Ovis aries: one gene and its partner. The protein of the gene in region 2 interacts with the protein of the main gene of each other region in a biochemical or structural test. Links are inferred from orthologs where the notes say so. Each region holds a gene or a part of one and is shown on either strand. Other genes may lie near its edges.

The links.
Region 1: the proteins of NSF (region 2) and NAPA form a complex in vitro, tested with the Homo sapiens proteins (2 studies listed by BioGRID). The link is inferred for Ovis aries from reciprocal best matches to the Homo sapiens genes NSF and NAPA.

The regions. Positions count from the first base shown.
Region 1 is NC_056067.1:54,244,465-54,248,506, forward strand, and holds the start of NAPA (alpha-soluble NSF attachment protein), read right to left. Parts: upstream 2,810-4,042; 5' UTR 2,663-2,809; coding exon 2,565-2,662; intron 1-2,564. UniProt on the Homo sapiens protein: Required for vesicular transport between the endoplasmic reticulum and the Golgi apparatus. Together with GNA12 promotes CDH5 localization to plasma membrane.
Region 2 is NC_056064.1:45,177,805-45,181,316, forward strand, and holds part of NSF (vesicle-fusing ATPase), read right to left. Parts: intron 3,109-3,512; coding exon 2,974-3,108; intron 1,939-2,973; coding exon 1,603-1,938; 3' UTR 1-1,602.

The sequences.
Region 1 (4,042 bases), on a different chromosome or scaffold from region 2:
CCTTTTCTCAAAAAGCCCTCTGGGATGGGGCCTGGTTCTTTAGTCTCATCCCCTTCTGCCTGTTCTACCTTTACGGGCTGACGCAGAACCCCCTGCAGTAAACCTTCAGACGCTGGCCTTCACACATCTGGGCCTTGCTCAAGCTGCCTCCTCTGTTGGGAGCTGTGCTCTCCCACCAGAGAGCACCCCCGGAACTCCTGCTCATCCTCCCAGGTGGAGGCTTCTCCCCACAGGGAGCCAGCCCTGGTCTCTCTGGATCTCAGTTCCCCATCATTTCTGGACAAACCTCCCCTCACCCTAGACCTCTGTTCAGACAATTCCCATTGCCTGGAACACCCTCTCCAGTCCCCACTCCTGTGGCATGTCCCAGGGTTCCCAGGGGCCCAGCTCATTCCTCACCAAGGAGTTCCTTAAGCTCATGCAGCTTCCTCTCAGGTCAGGAACCTCCCACCAATGATAAAATGCAGCCCTTAATCACATGTGACAATTCTGCTTTACTAGTGTGTTAGCAAGTCTTCATCTTGCCTTCCCAGCCAGGTGACAAAGTGTTTCAGGCCCTGACTTGGCTGCTCCTTCCAAGCATGGCCCAACAGTACACTAATCCCCAGGGACCAGACACCAAAAGCCACCCAGTAAAACCATGACCTGACTGAAAACTAAGCTCTTGGCCCCACCACAAAGCACTGCACTTGAGTTTCTCCCCTTGTGAAGGAAGCAGAAACACAGACACGCTCTCCCTACTCTCAGCCTCTGAAAGAAAACATTCCTCACCTAATCAATACAGTCCATCAGCCCCGGATGTTTTTCCACACTAGCGAGGTCTCAGCCAGGTTACTCAAGTTCTTGCGGTGGATAAGTAAACATTATCCACCACTTGTAACAATGAGCGGTTCCCATCTCCTCTCCGGGGAAGAACCCTCCTCCTCATTTCTTACCAACCTCCTAACACCGTCTCTCCTAAAGCCCCAGTCTTCCCCCGCAAACCCCGTCCCCAGCCTTGGCCTCTCTGCTGCCAGGTTCCATGGCCCCTCCTCACAGTTCCTCCTAACTCTCTACACACCCGCCTGTTCCCCTGCAGCTCTCCTCCCAGTTTCAAGAGCAACACAACGTTCCTCAGTCCTCCCTGGCTCTCTCTCCACCGGAGGTCTCAAGCCCCTTCCCCTAACCCTATCAAGTCCCCATGGCCCGAATTCCTTCCCCAACCCCTTTCAACTCCTTACTCATCACATCGCCTCTCCCTGCTCTGACAGCCCCCCTCCCACTTCTCCCATCAAACCCCCACCTTGATCCCCATCAGTCCCGCCCATCAAACCCCCACCTTGATCCCCATCAGTCCCGAACAGGCTCCATACCTGTTTCTTTCCCGGAAATGACACTGATGGTAGCTAACACTTTCAGAGTGATAACCACGTCCCAGGCTCAATTCTACACCCTTTACGCGTGCCCTACTTCAATACTAGTGGCAAATGCCTGAGACAGGTTTCTCTGAGACACCACTTCCCCATAATAAGGGAAGTTAAACAGCTTGCCCAAGGTCAAGAAATGGCAGAGCCTAGGCTTCTGACCTGAGCTTTTGATCCTCCTCAGCCACTAAAATTCCTCAAACGACAGTCATCAGAACAACTCTTATGAGCCAACATGAACTCATGTGAAATGTCTGCCACAAGCATTAGGTGTTGATTCTGTTTCCCAGCCCCCTTCAGCCCTAACCTGGGCATGCCAGTCTCATTCTGCTCACACTGCATGCCCCATCTTTACTCAAAGATCACACAGCAGGCCTCCGGCCCCTTAGGTTTTCTTATCTCCCTCATCTTTCATTTTTATCCCACCAGTTCCTAAACCAAGCTTCACTCCCACTTAGTTTCCAGCCTCCCAGCCCTCTTCGGCCTTCACTCCATCACCCCAGAGCTTCCTCTGTTCAGATCTCACTTGGCAGTCAGGTCTCTTTACACTAGTCACCTGTGACCTGGGCCATATTCACCTGAGACACTTCACGCAATTCAGACTGGGTCCATCAATCGTAGGATCATCTTAGCCCTGACGCCCGGGCCAGAGTTCACGTAAGTCCATCACCCCAGGTCTCGGAAAAGGGACGCCCTCAGGCATAAGTCCTCAGTCTCAGGGCCCAAGACTCCCGTCTGGGATCTTTCAAACAGGCTCTCCTTGAGCTCCAAAAGGCTTCCTAGCCTGGCTTCCCTCCAGGCTCCCTCGGTCCCCGCAGGCCACATTCCCTTCAAGGCCTGAGGCCGTATTCCCCTGGCCCTTTGGCCCGTCTCCAGCCTGGGGCCCCTTCCTGCCTCCAGATGGTTTCGCCTCGGCCCGGGTGTCCTCAGCCCACGGCCCTGCCACAGTCTCGGACAGTCTTTCCTCGAATCACGCTGTCAGTGCCACAGTCCGGCGTCCCGGCCATGGCTTGTACCCTCTGCTGCCTCAGACCATGCCCGTAAGCCCGCAAACCCCCGCGTCCTCTAGGCTCGAGCCCTTCGCCTCTACCGCCGCCCCAGAGCATGACTCCTCCGTCCTCTCAGCCGAGGTCCCGGCCGACCCCTGCGCGCGGTTCTTACCCAAAGAGGCCCGAGAAGAAAGACTGCGAGTTCTTCACTTTGCGCTCCGCCTCGGCCAGCAGCGCCATCGCCTCCGCCTCCTTCCCGGAGTTGTCCATAGCGGCCGCAAAAGTACTCAGCAAACCGCCGGAGCCCTGCCCTCGGAGAACTCAGATACGACCGGGTCGCAGGAGACAGGTCGGGGGAGCTTAGTGGGCTGCGTTGACGTCGCACCGGCGCGCGCCTCCTGCGGCCAGGAACCACGTGATTCGAGCTGGCCAACCAACGGCCTCGTAGCGCGGCGTGCGCACCGCAGACCACGCCCTCTCCAGCCGAGGCACGCCGCCCCGTGATTCACGGCCTCCAATCAGCGATCCAATTTTTAACGCATGCGCATGTATCTGTCTTAGGGTGCCTGGTGCGCTGGTTGATAACCCACGTGATTCCGCACAAGCCAATCGTAGCCCTCAGCGCCAAGGACCCGCCTCCTGGGCTTGTTCCTGCTCCACCAATCAACTTCAGCCTTTGGCTCCGTCTGACTTCCCTGCGGAATTTAGACCCTAGTCAGCTGATCCCTAATCGTCACGTGATAGCTCCATGCCGGAAGACTGGGTTTGACAGCTCTTTTGCGCAGAGCTTAGTCCCCGCCTCCTCTCATTACCTCCTGAAGGTCTCTTTCACTTGGAAAGGCGTCCGTGGGTAAGAAGGAAAGCGGTCTCCGTTTTGTTGCGCCCTCTGTCGACCTATGCTGAAATTGGTTTGGGAAGACCAGAGAAGGCTGCATATCTCATTTTATTGTGCTTTGCTTTCTTGCCCTTCCAAGATACACTTTAAAAAAAAACAAATTGAAGGTTTGTGGCAATCCTGCATTAAGCAGTTCTCTCAGAGCTGTGCGGTTTCCCAAACAGCATTGGCTCATTTAGTGTCTCAATGCCACGTTTAATAATTCTCACAATATTTTAAAGTTTTTTGTTACTCTTGTTAGGATGACCTGTGATTGGTGACCTTTGATGTTATTATTAAGACTGGCTCAGATAATGATTAGCATTTTTTTGCAATAAAATATTTTTAAATTATACATTTCTAAAATAATGCTGCTGCACCCTTAATAGACTGAAGTAGTCTTTCCTGGTGAGTTACTTGGACAGAGGAGCCTGCCCGGCTAAAGTTCATGGGGGTCTCAAAGAGTCGGATGCAACTGAGCGACTGACACACATACACACATAGTGTAAACATAACTTACATGCACTGGGAAACAAAGGGAAAGTCATGTGTCTGGCTTTATTTATGAACTGAACCTGCAATGTCTTAGAGGTATGCAGAGGGGAGCAGAGGTTGTCTAACGCTGGTTTCATTTAAAAAAAAAAAAAGCTAGTGAAACTGTTAAAAATTTAGGTTCAATTATATCTAGCGCCCAGATCTTAGTTTTTAATACTCTTTGTTCTCCAACAAAAGGAACGAGAGCTCCTTGGATAAAAGGCTGGTTCTAGGACACTGCA
Region 2 (3,512 bases):
ACTGGCTGGAGCTCTGCTGTAGTCAGTACTTGCAGGTCTTTGCCCATTAAACATATTTAATATGTGTGAGCAACGACTTACTGACTTGCCTGTAGCTATGGAATTAAAAGTCAAGGGAAAGGGAGGAAAAAAGTAATCTAGATAAATGACTTTATTCCCTCAGGTGACATCCAGTCAGAGCAGATCCTCGGCACTGTGCAAGTTTTAACAGAATTGTGTATGGTGAACAGAGAGGTAACATGACTTATATTCGGCTAAACTACATGCCTCTTCACTTAGACTCGGTCTCTCTAAGGCAGATCTAAAGAGAATTCACTCAGCTGCACGAAATCCATTTGACGTGAAGGGGTTCAAACTCAGAGGCCTATGAAGTGTCAGTCGCTGAAGATTAGGTCTGAGTGCCCCGCTCTCACTTTCCACCCCACAAACAGAGGAGGCATTAACTTGATCACTGACCTGCGGGCATCAAAGGAAGAGAGGAAGGGGTAGGGATTGGGGAGAAAAACCCACATAGTTTCTTCTATGCAATTATTGAAAAAAAAAAATTGTGCTGAAACTTAAAGAAATGAAGCATAGAGAGCTGACTGTCTGACAGATTTATCTCTTCCAAGGAAAGAGCCAACACAAATGTATGTGCACCTTTACCAAGAATAATCCTCAGCAAAGTGATTAGTCTGGAACTTTAATTTACTACTCATAAGGAAAAATAGAAATAAACTGGCTTAAAAATAGTCCAGCTGAAGGTTTCTGAAAGCCACAATTTTAAAATGAATTGACCAGCAAAGATTAAAAAAGCGTTCACTTCGTGATTGCAATTTGTTATTGGTCTAAGAGCCTATTTCAGCAGTAAATGAAATAAATTTCACCTCTGCCACCCACAGCTCACACTGTTGGAACAACAGGACTGAGTGTTAATGCATGAAGCTCAGAATGCAGCCAGTCTGTCCACCGAGGACCCAGGAGAGATTCATTCAACAGAAATTGGCTGAGGGCCTGACTATGCGTCGGTCCAGCTCTGTTCCAGGAGCTGTGGACTTACTAGTGAGTGAGAGCCAAGATCCCTGAACTCATACAGCTTCGAAGAGACACAGTTAGTATCTAACTAGTATGTCAGATAAGGACAAGAAGACACAGGATAGGCACAGAGAGGGGCAGAGTTACAAAAAGAAGAGAGGTAAGCTGCCAGTAGATGTGAGAAGGTCTCAAAGAAGTTTCATCTGTTTTTGCCCAGGCAGTAGCCTGGGGCTTAGTTTTCTATGTGATCCTGGATGCTTCAACCCTACAGTAGTTTGCGTGAAATTTCTAGGAGCCCTGCCAGGGGAGAATATATACAGCCTCTGTCTAATCTCTACACTCAATCACCTTGTCCCTTGAAACAGTCTCCCAGGCCCCCTCTGGCATCTGTGCATTGCTTCCTGACTTCTGATGGACAATGCCAGGTTCCCCACCTCCACCCCGTTAGATCACTAGCTGCGACCTTAGTTAACTCACTGACAACTGGTGGGACGCTCAGGATCCTCACCTCTAAAATGAAGGGGCAGCAGAAATTGTTCTTTCAAGTCTTTTCTAACTGTAAAACCTAGTGACTCTGTAAATTAAAATTTAATCATCTTTTCTTCTATTTTTGAATTTTAAGAAGTAGGAAAGAAAGTACCAATAAGTTGTTGTTTGATCTCCGAAGCAGGTTACTAACACCAACTTGACTCTGGAAATAATACAGGAGACTTTCAACTTAAAATCTTGGTGAGAGGGAATGATAACACCTGTTGGGATAATATTGTGAACCTTCTGTGTCTGAACCATATGGAGAAGGAAGCATCTTACCTGTAGGGACATCTCAATCAACATTAGTAACTTCTTGATTCCTATCCAGACCTTCTTCCCTTTGACTTGCTGTGTAATTGTGGTGCGTTCTTCATCCTTGAAATTGCCCAACAGCTACAAAAACAATAAAAGTAAGGAAAGCATTATATAAGGACATCAACAACATTAATTTCCACATTTACCCTTGAAAGAATAGTGATAAGAACTACCTGACTGGTTCAAGCTGATAGAATTCTCTCATATTTTAAAATCCAACTTGACTTTTCTGAATCCATTAACTGCAATTATGAAAATGAAAACTGGAATCTTAAACCCTATTTTCTTATGAACCTTCAGTATAATTTAGAGATATGTTTGCTGGGGGAAAAATAGCTCCAATCCATAATAAATATCAGTTAAAATTTTTAACATTCCATTCTAAGAATAATCTGTATATGTCAAAGCAGACTAAATTTAATTCTCTCACTCAACCTCGGCACAAAAACTGCTCAGACAGGTAAGCTGGAAACATTTATCATATAGCTTCTATTTTGTTGGGAGTATGCCCAACTGTACAGGTCTTGAGGATTTTAAGAAGCCTTCCTGACTCTATCGCTGCTGAACAAGTAACTAAATAATCTTTCTTAACACTTCATCAAGTCATTTGTGAACACCAATATTAGTCAAAAGTTTAATAAAGGATATATATTTTTTTAAAAATTAAAGATTATGTCATCCTCAAAAAAGAAAACATTTTCATATTATGAGCTTGTTAATAAAAGATTCCTTTAAGGCTTTAGTTATTGCTCAAATTGATTAACTGCAAGTAAATGGACTGAACGCTAGTATGAAGAACTGAGTTTTCTATATGTTATTCTACTTCCCTCCGCCCACCAAAGCTTCTGGCCCATGTAATCTATATGCATTAGTCGTGCTGGGCACACAGTAATTCATTCCTGGCAGTTTGCATGCTGCTTCCACTGAGGAATGAAGAATTACTTCACTCTCACTTGCATTTCTCTCTTTTTCCTCCAATTCCTGAAAGTGACTGGAGGTGTATCCTGGGTTCCCTGTTCTGTGTTAACACAGAAACTAAACACCAGGTGTGATGCCTGGGGCACCCGTAGCTCCTTTCTTTGGGCAGTGTGCACTCTCCTCCCTCATCCTTACCTCCAGAGCCTCCAGCAGCTGCTCCCCTGTGGCGATGTTGGGCACGTGGATGGTGGTGCTGAAGGCGTTAAGCATTTCCATCTCCTGAAGGACATCTTTGCGGCTTGTGGTCCCAATGATAAGAAGCTTGCGACCCTGATCATAGGGAAAAAAGGTATTAAAACACAAAGGAAAGAACTCATTAGGAAACTAGACTAAGCCTGAACAACACCCATTTATTTAATTGCAGAAATGCAAATGCTTAGACAAAATAGAAGGAAAAAATTCAAAACTATCTTCTTGAAAATCTTCTTTTTGGCCACATCACACGGCATGTGGGATCTTAAGTTTCCTGTCCTGCAGTGGAAGTGGGGAATCTTAACCGCTGGACTGCTAGGGAAGTCTCTTGAAAAATCATTTAAAAATGTTATCAACGACATGATTCAGAAAGAGCAACACTTTCTTCAGCATGCGGTTCAGAAAGAAGCAGCTGTCCTTTCTCCTCATCCACATCAGTAACATCCTGGGTCAGTAAATCAGGAAGATATACAAACCAAATA